Macaca mulatta: one gene and its partners. The protein of the gene in region 1 purifies or fractionates together with the protein of each later gene. This does not show direct contact. Links are inferred from orthologs where the notes say so. Each region holds a gene or a part of one and is shown in the gene's direction. Other genes may lie near its edges.

Region 1 (4,248 bases):
TCTACAAGAGCTCTAATACTTCTTCACTGAAAGTCAACACCCTTTCTTTTTTTTTTTTTTTTTTGAGACGGAGTCTGGCTCTGTCGCCCGGGCTAGAGTGCAGTGGCCGGATCTCAGCTCACTGCAAGCTCCGCCCCCCGGGTTTACGCCATTCTCCTGCCTCAGCCTCCCGAGTAGCTAGGACTACAGGCGCCCGCCGCCTCGCCCGGCTAGTTGTTTTTTTTTTTTTTTTTGTATTTTTTAGTAGAGACGGGGTTTCACCGTGTTCGCCAGGATGGTCTCGATCTCCTGACCTAGTGATCCGCCCGTCTCGGCCTCCCAAAGTGCTGGGATTACAGGCTTGAGCCACCGCGCCCGGCCACCCTTTCTTATCTTAGCATTAATCAGAAAAAATTATTTAAGATACCAGCATCATATATTTAAGTGAGATGCAAAGATAAAGAGTTTTTTCCAAGTGTTCATCTGTCCACGTCTACCAGCCAATTCACCTGCTGACCGACTTCTAACAGGTGAAAGATTAATCTCCAAAGAAGTTTTTAAAGATCCCAAATGTTCTGTGATAATTATATACATACATACATATACAGATATACGTACATACACACACATATATATACCTTGTGCTACGATATGTACAGATACAATACATATACATAAAACTCGGTGTTCTCAGTAAAGTATGAGCCATTTTTCATTTAATTACAAGATGTTTTTCCTTTTGTTTTTAGACAAGGAGGATTTTTTGAACCTAACCCTGAACCTCTAAATAGTTCAGATAACAAAGTTTTGGAATCACGAATTCAACATTGTTAAGAAACCATCCAGTCCAAATAAACAAAGGAAACCCACATATCATTTGCCAAGATTCTAATAACCATAATCCTGTGTCACCAAATGACAATGGAGACTCGATCCTTTATCAGTCCTAAATACGAACAGCAAAGTCCCCTTTGGTCCTCATACGTACTCGAAATTGCAAAGCAGGGCCTGGGAAAAGCGGTGAAGAGGCAACCCTTATTACAAGCAGTCCGAGTAGCTGTTACTAATCCTGGTTCCAAACAGCATCCTTCCCGGTTCTCTTCTTACGGAGCAGAGTCTTTTGTCCCTTCGCCCCAAATCGCTCAAGCCATTCCTAGGAAAGCTCGAGAAACACTTCACCTCACCTGTCAAAATTACAGAAAATCCACTTTCGAATTTTTCCCGCGAAAGAATGTGACGTCATTAACGCGGGACCTCACCAGATGAGGACCCAAAACTTGGCCCGTCCACCTCCGCCCAAGCCAAAAACCGCCGTTTTCAAACCGCCAATCAAATTCTTCCTTGGCTTCGAGGCTCTCAGCCGGCCGCGCTCTCCGATGCCCCGCCCTCCCGGAACCACCTCGCCTGTGACGTAGGTGGCGCGCGCAATGCCTTGGGCCCGTCTTTCTCGAGCGGGACCGGCGAACGTTGTCGCTCATCCTATGACGCGAAAGTAACCAAGACTATCAGGATCGGGAGACGGAAAGGGCTGAAGGCCGCAGTACTTGACCCTGTATTTTGGGAGTTGAACGGAGTAAGTTACAAGCGGCGTATAGGGTCGCACAGCTTGGGCGACGTCTGATTAACTCTCCGTCCTTTTTCTTGCGGTCCACTCTATCATCTGTCGTCCTTCTTACCCCGCCTCCCGCCTGCGCATCCATCAATTCCTTGACCTAGTTATCTATGCGCACGCGCAAAAGTCTTCCGGCAGTACTTGTAGTTCTCGTTTTCAGAGAGTAGGGGCGCATAGGGGCCCAGCATGGGGAGGTTTGGGGCGCGCCCTGCCTATGACGTTGTCCTTGTGGAAGTACGGGTGCCGAGAGAAGCAGTAGTCAGTAAAGACAGTGCAGTATTTCGCAGATTGGAGCTGACTTGTGGCTGCCAGAGGATAGTGAACGTGAGGATTTATATTCTAAAATTATCATCTTCTTTTGCAGGACTCTGCCATAGTCCTCAAAGAGTTAAAAATCCAGTTATGGAAGGGAACTAACAAGTGCTAGATACGGTGTGCAGAGTGCGTTAGCAAAAAAACTTAAGCGAAAACAAATGAGGAGGCAGTTAATTAGAGGACACAGGGTGGTGGAACATCTCAAAGAGTAAGATGCCATTTAACCTGGGCCTTGAAAATTTAGTAAGGAAATTTAGACGAGAAGATTCAGACAAAGCAGAAGACACAGGCCACTACGTGTTGAGGGACTTGAATTGTAAGCAGTGACTAGAACAATGATTCTTAACCTGTTGTGAAACGCTTTTGAAAACCTAATAAAAGTTATGGATTAGCTTCTCAGGAAAACATGTATGTACCTTTTAAAACATTTTGCGAGGCCGGGCACCGTGGCTCACGCCTGTAATCCCAGCACTCTGGGAGGCCGACACGGGCGGATCACTTGAGGTCAGGGGTTCAAGACCAACCTGGCCAATGTGACAAAACCGCGTCTCTACTAAAAACACAGAAATTAGCGGGGAGTGGTGGTGCACGCCTGTAGTCCCTTAAGAGGCCGGGTTGGGAGAATCTTGAACTCGGGAAGTGGAGATTACAGTGAGCCAGGATCGCGCCACTGCACTCCAGCCTGGGCGACAGAGAGAGGCTCCGTCTCCAAACAAACATTTCGCATATAATTTCCTCAGGAAAAATTACGAAATAATTTTAAATAGCAAACACACACAAATGACTTGGTGTCCTGTCTAACTCAGTCTTCCAGGTTATCTGTCTTTCGTGATCTTTGAACTATTTTTCAACCATGTAACCCGCTACAACAACATGGAAATGAGTTTGTCCAGTAAAGATGCAATTAATTATTATTCTGAGCAGTATTTATTAATATTTATTTCAACGTTCCTTATTGCCTATGTACGTGCTTTTTTTTTTTTTTTTTTTTTAAGAAGGAGTCTGGCTCTGTCGCCCAGGCTGGAGTGTAGTGGCCGGATCTCAGCTCACTGCAAGCTCTGCCTCCCGGGTTTACACCATTCTCCTGCCTCAGCCTCCCGAGTAGCTGGGACTACAGGCGCCCGCCACCTCGCCCGGCTAGTTTTTTGTATTTTTTAGTAGAGACGGGGTTTCGCCGTGTTAACCGGGATGGTCTCGATCTCCTGACCTTGTGATCCGCCCACCTCGGCCTCCCAAAGTGCTGGGATTACAGGCTTGAGCCACCGCGCCCGGCCGTACCTGCTTTTTAAATTCTTCTTTGAACTGGTTTTTAACACTTAACTGATTCCTTTATTTACAGTCCAGCACCACATACCGACAGACCGCATGTATGACAGTGGTCCCATAAGATTATAGGTGTGTAGTAGGCGATACTACCTAGGTTTGTAGGTGAGTACATCATACAATAACTACATACCCTACAATGTACTTACTCACCTGAATATGCATTTCTCAGAATGTGTCCTTGTCATTAAGCAACCCATGACTGTGCTTAAATCTTTACCATGTATTCCATTTTATATTTGTACAAGAGTCTTAATTTTACCTTATCTTTAAAATGTATTATTTACAATTTAACGGAGCCCACAAGAATTCTTGTCCAGACAAAGTTGCATGGACTTCAGATTAAGAATTCCTGAGTCAGAACATAGAGTCCATGGTGATAAATTGCAGGAAATTCTAACAAAAGGTAGACAATGTGGGATCAAACATACCTGGGATAATTTACTTAGCTAGCTTGGGCCAAGTCACATAACTTTTTTGAGTTTTTGTATTAAGAAGATGGAAGAAACTGCTACCTAGTGGGATTGTGAGGATTTACAAAAATGTATATAAAATTACTGGTATTATTACCCAGTAGCTTTTATTCTGCATTTAAAGCAACTAAAATGTTACTTTTTTTTTTTTTTTTGGAGTCTTGCTCTGTTGCCCAGGTTGGAGTGCAGTGGCACAATCTTGGCTCACTGCAAGCTCCGCCTCCCGGGTTCACGCCATTCTCCTGCCTCAGCCTCCCGAGTAACTGGGACTACAGGCGCCCGCCACCACACCCGGCTAATTTGTTTTCTTTTTTTTTTTTTTTTTGTATTTTTAGTAGAGATGGGATCTCACCTTGTTAACCAGAATGGTCTCCATCTCCTGACCTCGTGATCCACCGCCTCAGCCTCCCAAAGTGCTGGGATTACAAACGTGAGCCACTGCGTCGTGACTTTTTTTTTTTTAAACAATGTTTTCTTAAACTGCATATTATGTTATGGGAAGGTGCTAAGGAATTTCTAATGTTGCAAGTTTTGACAGAAGCATCA
Region 2 (3,500 bases), on another chromosome or scaffold:
TTTGCAATGCCCCATCCTTAGCGTATCTGTGGAATACACTCCTCACTCCCATCCTAAAACACACACACACATGCACAAACACCCTGTTATTTGCTTCTTAGTTAGTTTCAGCTCTCTTGATCTAATCCTTATCATTCCTACACATCATGATCCTTCCATGCATGATACCTTTTTTATTTCCAGCTGTCACTGCCTTTCTTTTTAAACGCATCTTTGAGAAGCTAGTTCAGTTGCCACTTTCTTTGTGAGGTCTTCCATCACTATTCAAAAATATAGTGATCTTGTTTTTTCAACAAAATTATACAGCCTTGTAATATCCCTAGTATGTAAAGCAGATGGTGTAATGGAGACAGATGGGGTTCTAGCTTTAAGACCAGCCTAGAGCCTGTGATAGTGGTTAAAGTGAGATGATTAGGGCCTCAACTAGCACTTGATATTAGGGGTGATTATATAAATGTAAGAAATGTTTAAGAGGTAAAATTGACATGATATATTGATTAGATGTGTCTGGAGAGGAAGTCAAAGTCAAGGGAAATAATGACTGGCTGAATGTTATAATACCAGTGGACATAAAGAAGCAGGTTCATAGTGACTGGCTTTGGAGGTCAAAGAGATTTTTAAAGTAGAAATGGCTGCTGTGTGCAGTGGCACTTGCCTATAATCCCAGCACTTTGGGAAGCCAAGGTGGGCAGATCACCTGAAGTCAGGGATTCAGGACCAGCCTGGCCAACATAGTGAAACCCTATCTCTACTAAAAGTACAAAAATGAGCCAGGTGTGATGGTGTGCACCTTAATCCCAGCTACTTGGGAGGCTGAGACGAGAATTGCTTGAACCCCAGAGGCGGAGATTGCAATGAGCCAAGATGTGCCACTGCATCTCCCGCCTGGGTGACAGAGCGAGACTCCATCTCAAAAAAACAAAAACAAAAACAAAAGTAGAGATGGCTAGCAGGCAGTTGGATTATAACAAGGTGAAATTCAAGGACAAGGCAAAGGATAGCCATATCATATCAGTCTTAAGAGTCATGAATTTAAGTGGTAGTTAGTGTCTAAAAAGATGTTTTACTGTTTTTTTTTACAGTCCTTCATTACAGTTTGAAGCTGCTTGGGCATTAACTAACATAGCATCAGGAACTTCTGCACAGACTCAAGCTGTTGTGCAGTCTAGTAAGTAAATTCCTTATTGTCTGAACTTTTTATTTTTTAATGATGGCAAGGAAGTAGAATTTTGTAATAAATTTTATCTTGTAATATTTTTTAAATGATGACTTTTATAAGTTACTTTTGATGACCAATATCTTTTTCATAGCCATTATTAATCTATCATGAAAAAATTTTAATTGTGGTTACTAAAAGAAGAGTAGAGTTTTATCTTTTGGAGTAGACATCATGCTGTGATAACAGGATTTTAAATTTCCATTTCTGATATCTTCAGGATGCTGAATGGCTTCTGCCTTTTAGCTTATGACATTTTAAATTTTACTTTCCTCAAGGTGTGCTAATAATTATTGTTAAATGAAACTGACACAAGCTCTTTAGAAAAGTACTAGATATCACCACGTATGTTGTTTCTTATAGTATGGGACACTTAGCTAACTTTAGGTGTGGTAATCAAGGTGATTTTAAGTAGCATGTGATATGGCACTAAGTTACATTGAATCATGTATTGAGAATACCATTCTCACCAGACCCACAGATGGCTCATGCCTCTACTCCCAGCACTTTGGGAAGCTAAGGCAAGCAGATCACTTCAGTTCAGGAGTTCAAGAACAGCCTAGGTGACATGGCAAAATCGTGTCTCTACAAAATATTAAAAAATTAGCTTTGCATGGTGGCGCGTGTGCCTATAGCCCCAGCTATTCAGGAGACAGAGGCGAGAGGTTCGCTTGAGCCCAGGAGGCAGAGGTTTCTGTGAGCCGAGATTGCACACTGCATTCCAGCCTAGGCGACAGAGTGAGACCCTGTCTCAAAAACAAACAAAGGCCGGGCGCCATGGCTCACCCCTGTAATCCCAGCACTTTGGGAGGCCAAGGCGGGTGGATCACGAGGTTAGGAGATCGAGACCATCCTTGCTAACACGGTGAAACCCTGTCTCTACTAAAACTACAAAAACAAAATTAGCCGGGCGTGGTGTCGGGCGCCTGTAGTCCCAGCTGCTTGGGAGGCTGAGGCGGCAGAATGACGTGAACCCAGGAGTAATACACAGATACAGCAAAAAAAAAAAAAAACTACTTAAATATTACTAGGGGAAAATACTGAAATTGATTATTTTTAGGGTAAAGATATTTGCCACATTTGTTCTTCCAGCAAACTATAATTGGGCAGCTACAATATGCCGGGCTCTGTATTTGATCAATTTCTTTGAGCTGAAATCTGTAAACTCTTCAACATGTTGCTAGTATAAATATTAGTTTTTCTTTATAACAGATGCAGTACCTCTTTTTCTGAGACTTCTTCATTCACCACATCAGAATGTTTGTGAACAAGCAGTATGGGCTTTGGGAAACATTATAGGTAAGTGGTTTGAAAGGAATCCTGTTAAGAATCTAAATTAACTTTTTTCCTACATTGGCATAGCCATTACATACTATGTTTCCTCTGAATTTAATGTGGGTTGACTCTCTTCTTGCTTCATAAGTACTAACTTAAGATGATACTCTTTGAAAAGGATATACAATTTGCTGTTAGCATTGGTAGGTTAAATTTATGTTCCCCAAATCAAAATCTGGAGAAACAACATTTGATGCCTTTGACTAATGGTGAGGAAACATAGAACGTCAGTGTTCCCACATGAGCCATTGCATACATTTCAGACTTTCTCATCCTGAATGTAAGTTTTTTTTAAATACAATTTTCATTTCTGTAGGTGATGGTCCTCAATGTAGAGATTATGTCATATCACTGGGAGTTGTCAAACCTCTTCTGTCCTTCATCAATCCCTCCATTCCCATCACCTTCCTTCGGAACGTCACATGGGTCATTGTCAATCTCTGCAGGAATAAGGATCCCCCACCGCCTATGGAGACAGTTCAGGAGGTAAATGAAGAATTGTAAAGGCCAGATGGTATATTTTCCCTATGTTTGTACTTCAGGAATTCATTTACAGGGGACAGAATAACACATATACTGATTTCATTGCAGGTGTGAGTTTTTTTTGGGTTTTTTTTTTTGAGACGGAATCTTGCTCTGTTGCCCAGGCTGGAGTGCAGTGGCGTGATCTTGGCTCACGGCAAGCTCCACCTCCCAGGTTCATGCCATTCTCCTGCCTCAGCCTCCTGAGAAGCTGGGACTACAGGTGCCCGCCACCATGCCTGGCTAATTTTTTTGTATTTTTAGTAGAGACGGGGTTTCACCATGTTAGCCAGGATGGTCTCGATCTCCTGACCTCGTGATCCGCCTGCCTCGTCCTCCCAAAGTGCTGGGATTACAGGCGTGAGCCACCACACCCGGTGTGAGATTTTTAAAGTAACATACTGTATTTAGTTACTGACCCCTATGA
Region 3 (3,500 bases), on another chromosome or scaffold:
ATGTGTTTCCATTTGAAATTCAAGCTAAAATAACATACTTTTAAAAAGTGTATCTTAAAAATCATATTTCACTTCAAAAAAACTTGTTAAAAGTAATTTGCATCAGATCCTGGAGTCGACTTGAAGAATTCTCCTACATCTTCTGACACCCAGTTAGGCCTTTTGAGAAAGAGATAAAACAATTTTTTAATGCATGTTTGATTATGGCCATCTCTTTTCTTAGAAGGTAGAAGATAGCACCATGCCGATTCGTCGAACTGTGAATTCTACCCGGGAAACTCCTCCCAAAAGCAAGCTTGCTGAAGGGGAGGAAGAAAAGCCAGGTAAAGTAAAATGGTGACACAACTTAAAACATCAAAAGTTATGCTGCAGTTTGGAGTGTCCCATAAATTCCTTTGAACTTAATTATTCTTTTTTTCATGGCTAAGTGTTTTGGGGAAACATTTGGAGAGAGAATCAGTAGCTATTGGTATGTCATTGCCAGACCATGAGGGCAAAGTAAGATTTCATCTTCTCTGTAAAGATTTTTGGAAGGTGAAAATGATATGTTGGAATTAAAAACAGAAAAATGGTTGGGGATGACAGGAATGGCCAAAGAGTAGCATTCTGGACATAAAGTGTCATGGGGATGAATGCAGTGTGGGAGAATGGAAAACGTGGGCCTTTAGGATAGACGTGGAAAGTTCATCCAGAAATCATCTGGAGGCCTTAAGAGAAGCAAATGGTGATCTGTTGATCTGTAACAGGTATCGGTAGAGAAAAGTCAGTGGTGGGAGCTTAACAAATGGAAAGAAATATAAACCCATCAGTATGGAGTGCTGGTGCTCCTTTATGGCGTCTATAACCATCTCTTCTCCTTTTCCCGTCTTTATTTTTCTTCTCATGATCTTTTTGTTTTTTTTCTTTGTCTTTTCCCTTTTTGCCTTTTTCTCTTGCCTTTTATCTCAAGTTTTTCAGGGATGAGCACACTGTGCTGCCTCTGTTGTGGCTGTTAGAATCAATTATTTGCTGACTAGCATGTATTAGGAATAGAGGGCCGGGCACAGTGGCTCACGCCTGTAATCCCAGCACTTTGGGAGGCCAAGGCGGGTAGATCACCTGAGGTCAGGAGTTCGAGACCAGCCTGGCCATCATGGTGAAACCCCGTCTCTACTAAAATTACAAACATTATCTGGGCATGGTGGTGCATGCCTGTAATCCCTGCTACTCAGGAGGCTGAGGCACAAGAATTGCTTGAGCCCAGGAGGCAGAGATTGCAGTGAGCTGAGATCACGCCATTGTATTCCAGCGTGGGCAACAGGGGAAACTGTCTCCAAAAAAAAAAAAAAAGGAATAGAAAATACGTGCATCCTTGTTTCCTGTATCCCTTGGTGCATCAGGACAGACATCAATAATGAGTCAATATACTCTTTTTTCTGGCTGAGCCTGGATTTTTTTCTCTAAATCCTTCGATGAATGCTGTAAGCAATTTGGGCACCCTAGCCTAAGGCAGTTAAGAAACATGAGAATCCGAATATTTGAAAAAGTAAATGGGTGCTGGTGAGTTGAAGATAGGTTATCTTGTCCAGCAGTGGGATAAGCCGCTTGGTGGTCCATCTTAATCCATGTTTAACAGCCAGCTGAAGCCACTAAATCACTAATAACATCAGTTTTCAGAATATGTGCCAGAGGGTTCAGAGGTAAAGTATTAGAAAAGTCAACCAAGAGTTTATGAAGAAACAGTGTCACTTCACAAGTTGTATGTTTGTTTAATCTTCTCTCTATCCCATTTTGTACATAGTATTTTGTACATAGAAATTAGACTTCACTCATTTTAAATTTTATAAACTCTACATTTTACCCAGAAACAGACAGTAGTTCGGTGAGTTGGAAACAGTCATATACAAACTACATATTCAGTATCCGTTGAGTGACTGAACTTTAAGCCATAACTCTTGAGCAGTTACTCTTGAGAAGAGAAAATAATGTAAAATTAAATTTATAAGTCTTATTGCAGTAAAACCCGTGAATGATTCTTAGCTTTTCATCTTTTTTAGAATAAGACAAAGTATAAATAAACATGACTAACTAATAGTAAATTCTTGCCCATGCAGCAATTTAGGTCAAGTTGTTGGTGTGAGGGGCAGTACAAGATATATCATGATGAAAAATACATTTTATTTTGGAAAACCTAAATGCAGTTACTATCTTTATCCCCAGATACCATTGTTACAGTGAAGTTCTGTCCATAATACTTTGTGATCCTAAGCATATGGAAAACAATTTTAGAAGCAGAGAAGGCCAAAGGAGGATGGAAATCACTCGCTTAGTATAAGTGTTAGAATTGTACTTATGCGATTTGGTTTTAAGAAAGAAGTGGCATTTTAAAATTCTCTTTATGTGTAGGCCACAAAGAAGTCCTTGTCATTATTGCAATAAGTAGTTCACATAATTTAAATGATCAAATTCTTCAATCATATACTTTGGTTTGAAGTATATGCTTGCCACTGGAGTCTTTTTTTTTTTTTTTTTTTGAGATGGAGTCTCGCTCTGTCGCCCATGCTGGAGTGCAGTGGCGCGAACTCGGCTCACTGCAAGCTCCGCCTCCCGGGTTCATGCCATTCTCTTGCCTCAGCCTCCTGAGTAGCTGGGACTACAGGCACGTGCCACAGCGCCCGGCTAATTTTTTGTATTTTTTTTTTTTTTTTTTTTTGAGACGGAGTCTCGCTCTGTCGCCCAGGCTGGAGTGCAGTGGCCGCATCTCAGCTCACTGCAAACTCCGCCTCCCGGGTCTACGCCATTCTCCTGCCTCAGCCTCCCGAGTAGCTGGGACTACAGGCGCCCGCCACCTCACCCGGCTGGTTTTTTGTATTTTTTAGTAGAGACGGGGTTTCACCGTATTTAGCCAGGCTGGTCTCGATCTCCTGACCTTGTGATCCGCCCGTCTCGGCCTCCCAAAGTGCTGGGATTACAGGCTTGAGCCACCGCGCCCGGCCATTTTTTGTATTTTTAGTAGAGACGGGATTTCACCGTGGTCTCAATCTCCTGACCTTGTGATCCGCCCGCCTCGGCCTCCCTGGAGTCCTTTTTCTTTTGTGTGTGTGTGATTGTTTGTTTGTTTTTTGTTGTTGTTGTTGTTGTTGTTGTTGTTTTTTGGAGTTCTCTGAAGTCCCTGCATAACCAGTGCCTGGGGTTCTGTGTTTTGTAGTAGCTGCTCAGAGACATGCTGTGAAGGAAAGGCACAAATAACAGCAGACCTCCATGTTCCCCTCTCATATTTCTACTCTTGCTTCAGTCATCCTCTTGGAGAATACATGAGTTTTTTATTACTTATTCTCTGAGATTTGACTGTTGAATTAAAAAATGGCTAATTTCTTAATTATAAGTCTCATGAATATTGCAAAGTAGAATAATTAAATCATTTGGGATGAAATGAGTTTTCCTTTCTGTGTAATTTCCTGGTCTATCTATTTTTCTAATAATAGATAACCACCTGACCAGGCAACTTGAGTGACATAAAG
Region 4 (4,296 bases), on another chromosome or scaffold:
GCAAAACCCCGTCTATATAAAAAGTACAAAAAATTAGCCTGGTATGGTGGTGTGCACCTGTAGTCCTAGCTACTTGGAAGTCTGAGGTGGGAGGATCGCTTCAGCCTGGGAGGTCAAGGCTGCAATGAACTGAGATTGCTCCACTGCACTCTAGCCTGGGCAACGGAGTGGGACTCCTTCTCAAAAAAAGATTTGATGGAGGTGGAAAAAAAAAAAAGATTTGATGGAGGTGAATTACTCTATGGATGTTTGTTGGCTAGTTTTCTAGGAAGAGGGAATGGCCAATGCAAAAGCCCCCAAGTTAAGCCTGCTCTGGAAAAGCAGCAGAGCATCATCGGGTGGAAAGCAAGTAAGTCAGGAGGAAAACATCTGAGATGATCAGAGTGGGCGTGAGGGGCAGATAGGTAGGGCCTTGTAGGTAGTTTAGATTTTAGGTTTTTACTCTGGAGGAAATGGAAAGTTTTGAGCAGATAAGGAGATGAGCTGACTTAGGTTTTTGTTTGTTTGTTTGTTTGTTTTTGAGACGGAGTCTCTGTCACGCAGGCTGGAGTGTAATGGTGCGATCTCAGCTCACTGCAGAGCTCACAGCTCCTGAGTTCAAGCAATTCTCCTGCCTCAGCCTCCTGAGCAGCTGGGATTACAGGCGTGCGCCACCCCCCCGGCTAATTTTTGTATTTTTAGTAGAGACGGGGTTTCGCCATGTTGGTCAGGTTGGTCTCGAACTCCTGACCTCCGATGATCCACCTGCCTCGTCCTTCCCAAGTGCTGGGAATATAGGCGTGAGCCACCGCGCCCGGCCAGATTTTAAAGATCCCTCTGTTTTGGTAGGAGGAAAAACAAACTAGAGAAGACAAGAGATCATTCGGTTTCTAAGCATGTGCAATTACGTCTCAGCTTCATCTCATGCCTTTCAGTTTGCCGAGCTCGCCAGGTGGCAGAGGGAACTGGAGACTCCGAATTCGCAGCTCCAGCTCCAGCCCCGCAGGTGGCAGCAGCTCAGAGCAAGCTCCTCCAACGCGAGGCAGCGCCTTCCTTCACTACCCTACTTTAAGGCGGCTTTCCGTTGGTTCGAGTGGCAGCGACATTATCCAATGGTTGCCTGTGTTCGTTCAGCTTTGTCGGACGGGCGATGGCTCCAGCCAATAGACAGGAGCGCTATCCGCGGTTTCTGATTGGCTATTTTGTTCGCATATAAAACGCACGCACGGGCGCGAGGCCCTTCTCTCGCCAGGCGTCCTCGTGGAAGGTTGGTGCGCTGGCCAGATCGGCGTCTGGGGCGTCAGCGGGAAGCATGGAGGGGTCATTGGGGGATTTTGGGAACGTGGAGTCCTATCCTGTTCCGCCTGGGGCCTCGGTGGCGGCTTGCACGCCCCGAGATGGCGGCGGCTGCCCTAGGCAGAGCCGGCGGGCGCTTGCGCGTGTCTTGCTCCTCGTAGGCCCAGGACCGGGGAATGGGTGTCGGGGTGACCAGGCTTGAGCTCCCTCTCTCTCCTCAGTGACATCGTCTTTAAACCCTGCGTGGCAATCCCTGACGCACCGCCGTGATGCCCAGGGAAGACAGGGCGACCTGGAAGTCCAACTACTTCCTTAAGATCATCGTAAGTGCAGGGTGGGTCGCCTCTGCCCTTCATGTTGCCCCAGCGCAAATAGGGACAGTCAGCTGCCATGTGCTGAGGGTCTATTCAGTACCGGTTACTGAATTAGGCCATTTTCGGGAAAATCCTGTTTAGTTAACAATTTCCTGAGATAGGTCCCTTCTGTTGCAGATAAACAGGCTCAGGCAAGTTAAGTGGCTCCTAAGATGACAGCATTCATATCCAGGTCTGTCTGGCTTCCAAAAGAGCGCACGTTATACCTTTTTTGTTTTTTTTTTTTTAACGGAGTCTCGATGTGTTGTCCAGGCTGGAGTGCAGTGGCTTGATCTTGGCTCACTGTAACCTCCGCCTCCCAGGTTCAAGCGATTCTCCTGCTTCAGCCTCCCAAGTAGCTGGGATGACAGGGGCGCGCCACCACACCCAGCTAATTTTTGTATTTTCAGTAGAGACGGGGATTCACCACGTTGGCCAGGATGGTCTCGATCTCTTGATCCTCATGGTCTGCCCGCCTCGGCCTCCCTAAGTGCTAGGAGTGAGCCACTGCGCCCAGCCGCACATTCTACTTTTACTGTATCTTTGAGAAGGTCTGAGGCCAGTAGTGACTCATTGTAAGGAAGCAAGTTGTTGCATATTTAGGACCTGTCAGTCAAGAAACTTAAGTGTCCAGTGACTTGGATGGCCTTTGAGGTGGGTCTTCCTTGCCCAGAAACGCTGACTGTACTGCGCTTAAGCAATTAGGCAGCATTGTAGAGCATAGCTTGTATTACGTTTTCCCACACTTAAAAGGTTTTCAGACACAAAACTCGAAAGAATTGTACAACAATCAGGATATACACGTCTAGATTCTTTTTACAAGTAATAACGTTGCTTAACGTTGTGCTTTGAATGCTGTGAGTCTAGCCCTCTTGACCAGCTTATTTGGAACATTCCTTTTTTTATCCTGATAACCATTTTAGTGAATCGGAAACCTCCCTCGTAATTGGGAAAAATGAAAAAAAAAAAACTAAGTAAAAAAGGAAAGGCCGGGCGCGGTGGCTCAAGCCTGTAATCCCAGCACTTTGGGAGGCCGAGACGGGCGGATCACGAGGTCAGGAGATCGAGACCATCCTGGCTAACACAGTGAAACCCTGTCTTTACTAAAAAAGACAAAAAAACTAGCCGGGCGAAGTGGCGGGCGCCTGTAGTCCCAGCTGCACTCCAGCCTGGGGGACAGAGCGAGACTCCATCTCCAAAAAAAAAAAAAAAATTAAAGGAAAAACTCCTTGATAGAATGTAGAAACCTGATTTTCAGCATTCATATCCAGCAAACCAGTCATCCAGTTTGGCAGTGTTACAACGTAGCTCCCACTCTCCCTCTGACTTCAAAAGCTTAGAAGAAAGGGAGTGAGAAGGAAACAAATTGTGGGGTTCAGTTTCTCCTGGCATTTTTTTCCCTCTTTCTTCCTGTTAAACTTGGCTCCTCTGACTTGTTTTTTGTAGCAACTATTGGATGATTATCCGAAATGTTTCATCGTGGGAGCGGACAATGTGGGCTCCAAGCAGATGCAGCAGATCCGCATGTCCCTTCGAGGGAAGGCCGTGGTGCTGATGGGCAAGAACACCATGATGCGCAAGGCCATCCGAGGGCACCTGGAAAACAACCCAGCTCTGGAGAAGTCAGTTCCACTGGCAGTTTTGTCCTCCCTCCCCAGTGCCCGTCTCCCTCTTCCTGGAGAATGGTGCTGAAAGGTGATTTTCTCCTGTAAACTTCTCTTTGCAGACTGCTGCCTCATATCCGGGGGAATGTGGGCTTTGTGTTCACCAAGGAGGATCTCACTGAGATCAGGGACATGTTGCTGGCCAATAAGGTAAGGGGACAATTGAGTTGGCTAAAGAGATTTTGTAGTTGCTTCTTAAAGCAAAATGGACCATTCTCAGGTTGTATGAGTGGAGAGGCTTTTCTCACTGTTTGTTGTCTTTGTCAGGTGCCAGCTGCTGCCCGTGCTGGTGCCATTGCTCCATGTGAAGTCACTGTGCCAGCCCAGAACACTGGACTCGGGCCCGAGAAGACCTCCTTTTTCCAGGCTTTAGGTATCACCACTAAAATCTCCAGGGGCACCATTGAAATCCTGGTGAGTGGACCTGGTTTGCCTGTGCTAATCAGGCAAATGGGGGGCTGCTTTTAGTGGCCATGGGTCTGTTGGTTGTCCAGGTGTTTACTGCCCCACTGTTACCTTGTTCAGAGTGATGTGCAGCTGATCAAGACTGGAGACAAAGTGGGAGCCAGCGAAGCCACGCTGCTGAACATGCTCAACATCTCCCCCTTCTCCTTTGGGCTGGTCATCCAGCAGGTGTTTGACAATGGCAGCATCTACAATCCTGAAGTGCTTGACATCACAGAGGAAACTCTGCATTCTCGCTTCCTGGAGGTACATGCTCTCAGCCTTGCCCCCTCTTACACTGATGGTTGAGAGCATGACAGGGGTCAGACTGAGTCCCTGTAACCAAGGACTGTGTTTTCATCTGTCTACCTGCCTCATCTGTAAAATGTCAATAACAACATAAGATTGTTGAAGGATTTAATGAATTAATGGATGTAAAGTCTTAGAACAGTGCTGGGCTGTTATTCTAGGGCCAGGAATAAGACTGTCAAATTTTGCCATCAAAATGCCCTTTAAGAGGCGGAGGTTGTGGTGAGCCGACATGGTGCCACTGCACTCCA
Region 5 (3,551 bases), on another chromosome or scaffold:
AAAGGTATGGGCAGACAACTTACTTTGCCTTTAATCTCTAGAAAAAAATAGCAATTACTTGGGGTCGGAGAGTAAAATAAGTAGTGAACCTTAAAGTAGTAAACTTGAGAACAGAATAGTTTCAGAGGGGAAAAGAAGAGGTGATTTTCAGCTCATCAACAAAAGATCTTATAATAAATTACATGTTCTGGTACTTTTCCTATCTTTCTGTGTAAATTTTTGCTATTTAAAAAATAAATTTCAAATATATTGTTCATCTTAAAAGTCAAGAGTTTGTTTTATTAAAGTCAGTTGCTTTATTTGCAATTCAAAGATATATTTGAGTTTCAAACTGGAGATTGTCCTGTACGGTAACTTGTGTAAGGTGTGGTTATTGAAAGTAACCTCTAATTTTCATGGGCTGAAATTCATCTCTAATATTGCAATGTACAAAAATAAATAAATAAATAAATGCTTGTTTTCTTTGAAAACATATTATCTCAGTGCCTCTAACTGCCAAATCTATTGGCTTTCTTTGCAGGCTTAAGGGATCTCCCTTGTTCCTTTATTATCTCTATCTTGAGAGCCAGACCTCCTGCCTTACACAACTCAGAGGGGGACCTCAGAGCTTTTTAAAAAGAGCCCAATTTCTCGCCTGTAGAGAAGTGAAAAGGATGCCCCGCCCCCATCTATGAAAAGAAGGATTTGATGGTTTCAATGTCTTCAAATCAAAGATTTAAGTCTCTAGCCCCCCACCACACCGGACCCTACCAAGGCTCATGAACCCCCTCCCATCCCTCCCTAATTACTTTGGACTGGCCCTGGAATCCTTGTCCCAGTCCACAGTTCCTGTGCGTCTGCAGGAAGAATTCACACAGGACCTGTGTTACTTCCCTTGTGAAGAAACAGAATTATCATGAAAATTTAGGTGGAAACCATTTCGCTTTTTTTTTCAAAAATAAGGGAAGCATGTGCCCAACCACCCCTGGGAAAAAGAACTTTCAGGGGCAAAGGAGCGAACAGGTAATTTATAAGAAAAACAGAAAGTGGTCTCTGACTGCCCCAGACTTCCTTCGGAGTTGGGGGAATTGGGGACGCCTGGACGCGTTGTTTTTGTGGTTGTGGAAAAAATAAATGAAAAGCCTGAAGCCCGAGGCTTCTGAGATCCTTTCCTGACCAAATCCGGGTGATTTGGTGCAGGGAATTTTAATATTTTTCCCCTTTTGTGAGGTGGAACAAACACAACTTGGGAGCAGCGCAGCGACTCAGAGCCTGCCAGCCAGGCGGGCCACCAGAGCACCAATCAGAGCGCTCCTGCGCTCTATATATACAGCGGCCCTGCCCAAGCGCTGTTTCATCGGCGCTTTGCCACTTGTACCCGAGTTGTTGATCCTCAACATGTCCGAGACTGCTCCTGTCGCTCCCGCTGCCGCGCCTCCGGCGGAGAAAGTCCCCGTAAAGAAGAAAACAGCCAAGAAATCTGGGGGGCCGCCTCGTAAGGCATCTGGTCCCCCGGTGTCAGAGCTCATCACCAAGGCGGTGGCAGCCTCTAAAGAGCGCAGCGGGGTTTCTCTTGCTGCTTTGAAAAAAGCGTTGGCTGCCGCCGGCTATGATGTGGAGAAAAACAACAGCCGAATCAAACTTGGTCTCAAGAGTCTGGTGAGCAAGGGCACTCTGGTGCAGACTAAGGGCACCGGTGCTTCTGGTTCCTTCAAACTTAACAAGAAGGCAGCCTCCGGCGAAACCAAGCCCAAGGTTAAGAAGGTGGGCGCAGCCAAGCCTAAGAAGCCGGTTGGGGCAGCTAAGAAGCCTAGGAAGGCGACTGGCGGCGCTACCCCGAAGAAGAGCGCTAAGAAAACACCGAAGAAGGCGAAGAAGCCGGCCGCGGCCACTGTGACCAAGAAAGTGGCCAAGAGCCCAAAGAAGGCCAAGGTTGCGAAGCCCAAGAAAGCTGCCAAAAGTGCTGCTAAGTCCGTGAAGCCCAAGGCCGCCAAGCCCAAGGTTGTCAAGCCTAAGAAGGCGGCACCCAAGAAGAAATAGGTGGACGCCTGCTTCAAAAAACCCAAAAGGCTCTTTTCAGAGCCACCACTGATCTCAATAAAAGAGCTGGATACTTGTTTTTCTTAGTTGCCCTTGTTCCTTTTCTTGCTCGACCCTGCTCCTTAAGGTTAGTCGAACGGGAACCTTATAAGACAAATAAGTAACGGGGGTTCGAGAGTGGCCGTGGTGAGGTTACGGCGCTTAAACCTTTACTGCGACTTCCATGTCCCTGACTGCTGCTTCGAGGCGTTTCCCGCTGGCGGATGTTTTTGGGATGGCAGTCAGCCACGCCCCAGGCCTGTGAAAGGCAGAAAAGATCGCAAAACAAGAGCCAGTTTCTTCGTCTAAAGGGATATCCGGATTGGACTAAAAAATAATTCAAAAGTCCCGCCCTGCTCCTGGGTTGGTCCGTCGTTCTAGTCCATGACTTTAATTCTATATTTAATTGGATGGTGGCAGACGTTGCTTATTCCGTGTGTGTTGCTTCTCTGTGACTTGAAAGTTTTGCCTCTTGATATTAACGTTCGGGATTTCGGACGCTTTCCATGTTGTAGGTAGTCAAGTTGGTATCTCCTGGAGGTAGTGGCAACATCCAGCCCTGGGAGGAGAGTGCGTGCAGGTACCTTTGTCCTACATTCCTCTGCTGTTAATTTCTCATTCCTGTGGTAACAAAGGAATGCATTTGAATAAACAGCGGCAATAGCCCTTCCTCCACCCAAGGCAATCGTGGACCTAGGGAGCTTTTTGTTTCTCATATCATGCATGTAGTGTTCCGCTAAACTGACAGATTTGAGCGTATCGATTTTGAGCGTATCGAAAGCACAACTTTTAGCCAGCCATTTTGTCCTCGCTTGACGGTTACTTATCCTCAGTTTAGGCAGACATCAACATTTAAAAATCGAAGTTCTTTTAAACACATTTTGTTTGGCAGTCCAAGTGTTTCTACGCGGAGAACGATTTGTACTATTAACTAAAGTATATGGATAAATGAGAGACATTTCTAATAAAGGCCTTCGTTAATGGTTCCCTCTATTTGACACCCATGGTGCTTCTGAATACAGAAAACCTAGCGTCTTATATTCGGTTCTTTTAAAATCTGATAGGCACATTTCGGTGAGACCTAAATTATGTGGACCGGGACTTCTGGAGATAAGCTGCTCAGTTATTCTACCATCTCCACAATGATGAATGTAGTGAGTTAATTTCTCTGTTAGTGATAGTGACCACGGATTCATCCCAAGAAAGGGAGAAAGGGGAGGGAGGCAAGCAGAGAGACAGGGAGGCAGAGGCAGGGAAGAAGGAAAAAGCATTCTCCCATGGGTTAAGTAATTTTGTGTTGTTAATTTTACATTACAACACGGTTTACATGGTGAACTCTATTTTGGTGTAAGGTTTAATATATGGACATATTTTCTCCCAAGACCATTTATGAACTTTCATTTCTGCTTCCCCCTTCTTCCTTCCGTGTCACCCTCCACACTCCTATCAATTTTGGCTATTTTTGTCATAGGCTAATAGGCTAAAATTTCATG
Region 6 (3,500 bases), on another chromosome or scaffold:
TGGGTAAACTACTAAACACGGATGTCATCTATTTTATTGAGCCTGGATCAGTCTCTAAAGATCACCACAACTTTGAATCCACCTGTAGTAACTAAATAGCCTGTGTTGCTTTTTCTGTGAAAATATTTTAAAATAGCATTATAGATGTATTACATATTATAAAAGAGGAATAAAATCCCATGAAAACCAAAAGTATAGCTTGTAATTTGCTTACCAGCCACTTCTCACATAACCTTTAGTAGCTGCTCAGACGGAAGTTCATCCTAATCTTTTTTTAGGGTTAGAAAACTTCAAGATTTTATTCTGGTAACTCCGTTTTCGTAAATCTAAAACAGGTTTTGGAATGAAAATGAGGCCTCCATAAACCTAGGATTAAATATTGTAGAGCCCTTTATTGTTTTCTTTTTTTTTTTTAAAGAGATTGGGCCTCATTATGTTGCCTAGGCTGGAGTGCAGTAGCTGCTTACGTGTGTAATCATAGCCCACTGCAGCCTTGAACTCCTGGGCTTAAGCGTTCCTCCTGCTTCAGCCTCCTAGGTAGCTTGGGACTACTGGTGCTTACAACTGCACCCAGCTCCTTTACTGTTTCGTAATTGAAAAGAAAAGTTTATCCATTTGAGTAAAGCTTCTGTTATTCACACTATCAATTTACAATTCACTGAAGATTTTTTTGCCAAGTTGGGTCAGTTTTACAATGTACCAAAACCTAAAAGCCTAAATATATGTCTCTTAAAGGGACCCTTTTTCCTGTTGAACATTTTAAACACAGTTTCAGTAAGTGATTTTGATATAGTATGTTAACAGTTTCATCATAGAAAATTCCATGTTGAATTTTTTTTAAAAGCAACTGAGCCAGTGGGAGTCTGTGTAACATAGAGGCTGGACCTTAGTATGATAAATTGAGAATAATAAAGGGGATGGAGCATTTGTGAAAAATGTTAGTTTTTTTTCCTCTTTAAATTAGTAACTTCTTATTAGATAGTCCTGTATCTGAAGCAACAAGTTGTTCAATATGTTAGTTTTTTATTTGGATAGGTACTATATTTTCTTAGTTTAAAAGTTATATGGAAAAGTATAGACAAAGAAATTTCCTTTCTACCCCTATGCCTATGTCTACCAAATCCCCTTTGTCCCCTATAAGGCATCCAGTTTTAGTAGTTTCTGGTTTATCTTTTTAGTATTTCCTTAGGCAAATATGAATATACTTCCTTAATTCTTACATGAGTGGTAGTAATGTTGGCAGCCTACTATATTCACTGATCTACTTTTTGTTTATTCACCATCCTGTTTCATCAGCTCTGAGAAAATACACTATTATTATATGAACCACTAAGTAGTTATAAAACACTGCCAACTAAACTATGGCACAGTACTTGCTTATCACATTGACTGTAAGTTGTTTCTTTATTTCAGAGATGTAAAAACAGGAAAAACAGTGTACCCTGTCAATCTCTGTTAGCTCATAGAGCTCTTCTTCATTTTTTGGGTTTTTTTTTTTGAGACGGAGCCTTGCTGTGTCACCCAGGCTGGAGTGCAGTGGTACAATCTTGGCTCACTGCAACCTCTGCCTCCCGGGTTCAAGCGATTCTCCTGCCTCAGCTTCCCGAGTAGCTGGGGTTATAGGTGCCTTCTACCACACCTGGCTTATTTTTGTATTTTCAGTAGAGACGGTGTTTCACCATGCTGGCCAGGCTGGTCTCGAACTCCCAACCTCAGGCAATCCGCCCACCTCGGCCTTCCAGAGTGCTGGGATTACAGGCGTGAGCCACTGTGCCCAGCCCTCTTCTTCATTTTTTATGACTACATAGTAGTCTATTCTGTACTATAGTGTATTTAACCAGCTGGATATTGAATTGTTTCTGATCTTTTGCTCTTACAATGCTGGAATGAATAAGTTTATGTTAGTTGATACAAGTGGAGATATATCTGTAGGATAGTTCTTAGGGGTAGAATTGTGGGCCAAAGGGTAAATACATCTGTAATTGTTAAGATACTGCCATATTCCTGTCTGTAGGAGATACACTATTTTACATTCCTACTAGCAAAATACAAGATAATTATTTTCCTCATTCTTGACAAAATAGTGTATGATCAAACTTTTGAACTTTGCCAACCTGATAACAAATGGTCTCAGTGCCATTAATGATTAATGATTTGCGTCTCTTACTATGAATGGTTTGAACTTTAAATATATTTTAAGAGCCATGTGTGTTTCTTTGTATGAACCACATATTCGTGAATTTTGCCTATTTTTCTATTCAGTTGTTGAGCTTTTTCTTATTTTCTGGTTCTCTGATATAAAAGAGAGATTAGCTGTTTGTGATACATGTTGCAAATACCTCATCCATATTTATTGTCTTTGCTTACAGTATTTGTTGCAATATAGAAGTCATTTATTTTTATATATCATTCTTATGGCTCCTAGATTTTAAGTCATAAGGTCATCCCCACTCCAGTGTTACATGAAGGAATCATTCTTGTTCTGATACTTTCACAGTTCTCCCTCCACCCTTTTATTATTTAAATTTTCAATCTATTTGGAGTTTATCCTGGTGTATAGTGTGAGGCATGGACCAGCTTTTCTCCTTTTTTTCTAATTAACACTACCTGATTTAATGATTTAAGCATTATAGTTTGTTTATATTCGGTAGGGCCAGTCTCTAAATTTCACTCTTTTTTTTCCTGGTTATTCTTGTTTGTTTATTTTTTCATATGAACTTTTGAAAGTTATTCAGTTTTAGAGGAAAGAAACAGAAAAACTTGTTTTGAAAGGGACTTGGAGACCATGTTAAATTTGTTGATTAGCAATAATAATTATGTGTTGGTTCTTTGAAGGTTCTATTCAGTGTTAGGTGCTTTAATGACAACATAGGAGAAGGCAAGAACCAATAATTTTTATAAATTGGTGACTGATATCAGTGTCATTTTCCTAGCAATTTCTCGTACTACCTGTAACAACACTTTCAGCGCTTAATGTTTTAGAGGAGAAAAGCCTATGCTATGAAGACAGGAAGAAACACTTTTCAGGTAAAATTAAGTAGCCAATGACAGTTTTGTTTATTTGTTGCTTACTAGGTAAAAGTTTTGTTTGTGAGAAACTTGGCTACTACAGTGACAGAAGAAATATTGGAAAAGTCATTTTCTGAATTTGGAAAACTCGAAAGAGTAAAGAAGTTGAAAGATTATGCATTTGTTCATTTTGAAGACAGAGGAGCAGCTGTTAAGGTAGAAATTTTGAAATTTTGGTTCTTGATATTTGAATTTTGTTTCTGAAACCTGCCAAACACGTAAAGTAATGTTAAAAACTGAAGTAAAATTGACTGTTAGCTTTTGCTGAACTCTTTCTATTTAATCTCTGTTAAGTGGTAATAGTATAACAGATAAGACTCCATATTTCAAAGCCAGATTATTACTGAATTTGTGATCTTAGGCAAGTTATTTTTAATCTCTATTGTTTTGTAAGATTTGATAGCATGATGCCTTGGAAGTATTACAAGGTA
Region 7 (4,273 bases), on another chromosome or scaffold:
CTAATCGAATTTTCATTTGTGTCTGGTTATCTTTTGCTGTATGCTGGACATTTTATATAAAAAAATGTGTATAGTAACCATTTGAGTTCTATAATAGTGCTTCCTGCTAAAGAGGGAGTAATTCTAGTTTTCATTTCCTTAATTCATTTTTTCCTCTCCATTTTTAGTAATGATTCATGTTCCATAGGTGATTGCCTATAACATAAACAACACGGGAAAGTAGAATTTCCCCAGGGAAGATGTCTGGCTTCATATAGTTCCCTTCACTAATTGGTAGAGGGATCCTGACTCATGCCAAGAATCAGTTCCTTCACTTACAGAAGCAAGTCAGGTTCTCTATCATTGGCCCAAACTAGGGTTTGCGCCTTCCTTTCTACTATTGCCTTAAATGGTATTACACTGAGCAAAACTGAGCAATTCCCCGTTCTGCAACAGCATGCTCTGTTTTCCTGCCTTAATACAATTCTCTCTACTTGGAATGCCCATTTACTCTTAACTTCATCTTTTCCTATGGAAATATCTCAAGACCCAGCCCAAATACTCCCTTCTCAAGAAGCCTTCCCAACTGGATGCAATTTTTTCCCTCTTCTGAATCCTCTTAGTATTTGATACTTTTTAATGGACTTTTCGGTCTTGAGGTTACTTGTGTATTCATTTTAATCCCATTCAATTGTAGAGACCCTACAAGTTACATTACCAGACTACATATCTGCTTATTCATTTCAAAAATGTGGATGGTAATAGAACATCTTTTACAGGGCTGTTGTGAGGATTAAGTTAGCTAACATATGAAACGCTATTTCTAAGGAATAGTAGTGGAGTGCTCAGATCAATGTTAGCTGTTACTACCATCCCTTAGAAATACTGTGATTTTGATGGAACAGTTTTCACCAAGGTGAAAGCAGAATCCTAACAAATCCTTTTAAAAATTCTGGGCTGGGGCCGGTCGGGGTGGCTCACGCCTGTAATCCGAGCACTTTGGAAGGCCGGGGCGGGCGGATCACAAGGTCAAGAAATCGAGACCATCCTGGCCAACATGGTGAAACTCCGTCTCTACTAAAAATATGACCAACATGGCGAAACCCCGTCTCTACTAAAAATACAAAAATTAGCCGGGCGTGGTAGCATGCACCTGTAATTCCAGCTACTCAGGAGGCTGAGGCTGGAGACTTGCTTGAACCCGGGAGGCGGAGGTTGCAGTGAGCCGAGATCATGCCACTGCGCTCCAGCCCGGACGACAGAGCTAGACTCTGTCTCAAAATAGATAAATAAATAAATAATAAATTAAGTAATTTAATTAAATTAAAGTCTACTATCTGAGGTAATAGACGAAAAAGCCTACGGAAGGGCAACAACGGCGGCGCCTGCGCAGAGCCGAGGCGAAGGTGGCAGGGAAGGAGCGGGCTTGCCCAGAGTCGCGGAGGGCGGCTCGGCGCATGTGCGGGGTGGGTGGGGCTGCGCGGGGCGGAGCCTGTGGCCCTGGTGCGGCTCTGGGTCCGTCCTGTCGCGTCCCAGTTGTCACTCTCTCGGGTTGTTACTCTGTAGTTTCCCGGCTCGCGAAAGGGAGGACCTGTCTGGGTCATGGATTTTGAGAATCTTTTCTCAAAACCCCCCAACCCGGCCCTCGGCAAAACGGCCACGGACTCTGACGAAAGGTGATCCCCCATCTTTTCATCCTTTGAATGCAGGGGCTCAGCGGGACTCCGCCTCTTAGTTTCTTCAGGATTGGAGGCCGTCCGGAACCACGTCCGGGCCGCGTCGGGAGAGCCCGTGGGGAGCACGTGGGCCGGCCGGACGCCACCGTCTGACCTATAGAGGTCGTGCAGGGTCCGGGTGGGAGCAGAAGCTGAACACGGGGCTCAGGCGTAGGCCGCCACGGCCGGGGCTGCCGAGAGCCTGGGCGGGGGAGCGGGGTGGAAGCGAGAAGGCTCCGGGATGCGCCCCTTTCTCTGCACAGCAGCGGGTTAGGAGCCCGCTTCTGTGGTCCGGTAGCGTCTGTCTTTACTATTGCTTGGTTCCACGAGACCGTAAACTCCCAGAGGACACTGATTGGACCTTTTTCACTGACACATGCTAGGCTCTTTTCTGTAGAAAGGACGAAATCACAAGTTTATTAAAAGGTAAAGAATAGGGAATACTCTGCCATTAGTCCACCGATTGACATGGAAAGACCCTAAAGACCACAATAAAGCAACAGACATCATTTGGACTTAAAATTTCCATTAGGTTGGAAAAGCAAAGGAGACTTTTGGTCAAATGGCCCTAATTTGTAGATTTCATTTTTGGAGCAGTGCATAGTGCTTACACCCAGATAGATGTTCATTCTTTTTATTCTTTGAATTTGAAATGCTAAAAAGTATCTTTGTTCTTAAACCTACGTCTTTTATTTCCCTCAACTGAGATATATTTCCAATTATGGTTGATTTTACCTCTCGATATTGCTCAGCTGTTCACTCTATCTCAAATTTTAACTGATCATCCAGAGCTTTACCTCGTGCTTTACATGAAATCATTTAATCCTCAAAACAAACTTGAAGATGATGCTGTCTTTGTTTTACAAATGGGAAAATGAGGCACGGAGAGGCTAAATAACCTGCCGAGATTGCACAGTGGAAGTGGAAAAACTATGTCCAGGACCCATGATTTTATCACCAAGCTTCTCATGCAAAATGACTAAAATAAAATAAGGCCTATAAATATTGGAAAGAGACAAAGACTCTAATTACTTGCAGATGATATAATTTACTAAGAAAAATAACTGGAACTAATTGATACGTTGTAAAATACATAAGAATTCATCACCAAAAAAAAAAAAAGATAACAACATGTAAAAATCCCAACAGCAGCTATCAGTTTGAAAGTGTATTGGACGAAAATTCTATTCCCAAAAACTTGACTGCAATACATAAAAGACACTTGGAATTTTGCCAAAATGATGGGTGAAGGATGGTATGGAAGTATGGTGAGCTGTCCATATTATTTGCCCATTTTTCTTCTTTTTGGTCTTTTTCAAATTCTAGGATCTCTTATTTGAGAGTACTTTACTCCCAATTGTCATGCCTATGGCATTATTTTTCAAGGTATAAAGGAATGGGGATGTTGTGGTTTTGTTTTATCCAGTCAAATGAATCAGTCTTTTCTCATATGGTTTCTGGTTTTTTTCCTAGTAATTTGTGATGGGAGTACTTCTCATTCATTCAAAAAATCGTATTCAGCACCTGCTATGGCCTTGGGGATATAGCGGTAAATGAACAAGAGATGAAAATTTCTGTACTAATGAATTTACGTTATTAGGGGGAGGGGGAGACAAACAATACATAAATATATCGTATTTAAATACCCTGAGAAAATGAATGAAGGCTAAGGGGAAAATAAGTACTGTTGGGGTGGTAGGGAGGGGGCAGATTTTTTTATTTTTTTATTTTTATTTATTTATTTATTTTTTGAGACGGAGTCTTGCTCTGTCGCCCAGGCTGGAGTGCAGTGGTGCAATCTTAGCTCGCTGTAAGCTCCACCTTTTGCTTTGGCACCATTCTCCTGCCTCAGCCTCCGGAGTAGCCGGGACCACAGGCGCCTGCCACCACACCCGACTAATTTTTTTGTATTAGTAGAGATGTGGTTTCACTGTGTTAGCCAGGATGGTCTCGATCTCCTGACCTCGTGATCCACCCACCTCCGTCTCCCAAAGTGCTGGGGGATTACAGGCGTGAGCCACCGTGCCCGGCCAGGCGGGTGTAGATATTTTAAGAAGGTAGATAAGGAAAGCCTCACTGATAACGTTGGTAAGTTTTAAAAACCTGTGTAGGGACCTGAAGGAGGTGAGGGGGTTTCATAGTCTAGAGGAGTGGAGAGGAGTCTGTGTAAAGGTCCTCAGGGGAAGTGAGCTTGGTGTGATTGCGTTAGGGGAGCAGAGTGGCCAGAAGGACAGCTGGGGTGGAGTAAGAGGGACTTGGAAGTCTGCGAGGTATTGGGGTAGGGTTATGGGAGCCCAATCATGGAGTAACTGGTAGGTGCCAAAATAAGGACTTTGGCTTTTACTCTGAATGAGACAACAGACCATTGGAGGGTTTTTCAGCAGAGTGACATTTGAAATATTTTAGCAGGGTCATTCTAGTTGTGTTGAGAGTAGAATGTAGGGGTGCCAGAGCAGCTCGGATTGTTGTATTAGTGGCAAGAAGTGGTCAAATGTGGGTATGTTGAAGATAGAACAAACTGGATTTCCTCCGAGATTGGATGGGGATGTAAGAGAGGAATCAAGATTGACTTTAAGGTT

The links.
Region 2: the proteins of LARP7 (region 1) and KPNA3 purify together in Homo sapiens (affinity purification with mass spectrometry; 3 studies listed by BioGRID and IntAct, with this or other methods). This does not show direct contact. The link is inferred for Macaca mulatta from reciprocal best matches to the Homo sapiens genes LARP7 and KPNA3.
Region 3: the proteins of LARP7 (region 1) and HP1BP3 purify together in Homo sapiens (affinity purification with mass spectrometry; 3 studies listed by BioGRID and IntAct, with this or other methods). This does not show direct contact. The link is inferred for Macaca mulatta from reciprocal best matches to the Homo sapiens genes LARP7 and HP1BP3.
Region 4: the proteins of LARP7 (region 1) and RPLP0 purify together in Homo sapiens (affinity purification with mass spectrometry; 3 studies listed by BioGRID and IntAct, with this or other methods). This does not show direct contact. The link is inferred for Macaca mulatta from reciprocal best matches to the Homo sapiens genes LARP7 and RPLP0.
Region 5: the proteins of LARP7 (region 1) and H1-2 purify together in Homo sapiens (affinity purification with mass spectrometry; 3 studies listed by BioGRID and IntAct, with this or other methods). This does not show direct contact. The link is inferred for Macaca mulatta from reciprocal best matches to the Homo sapiens genes LARP7 and H1-2.
Region 6: the proteins of LARP7 (region 1) and HNRNPR purify together in Homo sapiens (affinity purification with mass spectrometry; 4 studies listed by BioGRID and IntAct, with this or other methods). This does not show direct contact. The link is inferred for Macaca mulatta from reciprocal best matches to the Homo sapiens genes LARP7 and HNRNPR.
Region 7: the proteins of LARP7 (region 1) and ZC3H8 purify together in Homo sapiens (affinity purification with mass spectrometry; 4 studies listed by BioGRID and IntAct, counting the BioPlex papers as one, with this or other methods). This does not show direct contact. The link is inferred for Macaca mulatta from reciprocal best matches to the Homo sapiens genes LARP7 and ZC3H8.

What each region holds. Positions count from the first base shown.
Region 1 is NC_133410.1:121,861,914-121,866,161, forward strand, and holds the start of LARP7 (la-related protein 7), read left to right. Parts: upstream 1-1,448; 5' UTR 1,449-1,552; intron 1,553-1,836; exon of another isoform or gene 1,837-1,915; intron 1,916-3,241; exon of another isoform or gene 3,242-3,334; intron 3,335-4,037; 5' UTR 4,038-4,132; intron 4,133-4,248. UniProt on the Homo sapiens protein: RNA-binding protein that specifically binds distinct small nuclear RNA (snRNAs) and regulates their processing and function.
Region 2 is NC_133422.1:28,954,097-28,957,596, reverse strand, and holds part of KPNA3 (importin subunit alpha-4), read left to right. Parts: intron 1-1,082; coding exon 1,083-1,168; intron 1,169-2,428; coding exon 2,429-2,515; intron 2,516-2,867; coding exon 2,868-3,037; intron 3,038-3,500. UniProt on the Homo sapiens protein: Functions in nuclear protein import as an adapter protein for nuclear receptor KPNB1. Binds specifically and directly to substrates containing either a simple or bipartite NLS motif.
Region 3 is NC_133406.1:220,174,014-220,177,513, forward strand, and holds part of HP1BP3 (heterochromatin protein 1-binding protein 3), read left to right. Parts: intron 1-223; coding exon 224-323; intron 324-3,500. UniProt on the Homo sapiens protein: Component of heterochromatin that maintains heterochromatin integrity during G1/S progression and regulates the duration of G1 phase to critically influence cell proliferative capacity.
Region 4 is NC_133416.1:127,495,506-127,499,801, reverse strand, and holds the start of RPLP0 (large ribosomal subunit protein uL10), read left to right. Parts: upstream 1-1,496; 5' UTR 1,497-1,544; coding exon 1,545-1,598; intron 1,599-1,852; exon of another isoform or gene 1,853-2,058; intron 2,059-2,687; exon of another isoform or gene 2,688-3,074; coding exon 3,075-3,250; intron 3,251-3,354; coding exon 3,355-3,442; intron 3,443-3,559; coding exon 3,560-3,706; intron 3,707-3,817; coding exon 3,818-4,003; intron 4,004-4,296.
Region 5 is NC_133409.1:157,051,897-157,055,447, forward strand, and holds H1-2 (histone H1.2), read left to right. Parts: upstream 1-1,335; 5' UTR 1,336-1,377; coding exon 1,378-2,019; 3' UTR 2,020-3,051; downstream 3,052-3,551. UniProt on the Homo sapiens protein: Histone H1 protein binds to linker DNA between nucleosomes forming the macromolecular structure known as the chromatin fiber. Histones H1 are necessary for the condensation of nucleosome chains into higher-order structured fibers.
Region 6 is NC_133406.1:217,691,843-217,695,342, forward strand, and holds part of HNRNPR (heterogeneous nuclear ribonucleoprotein R), read left to right. Parts: intron 1-3,075; coding exon 3,076-3,225; intron 3,226-3,500. UniProt on the Homo sapiens protein: Component of ribonucleosomes, which are complexes of at least 20 other different heterogeneous nuclear ribonucleoproteins (hnRNP). hnRNP play an important role in processing of precursor mRNA in the nucleus.
Region 7 is NC_133418.1:22,389,403-22,393,675, reverse strand, and holds the start of ZC3H8 (zinc finger CCCH domain-containing protein 8), read left to right. Parts: upstream 1-1,473; 5' UTR 1,474-1,581; coding exon 1,582-1,655; intron 1,656-4,273.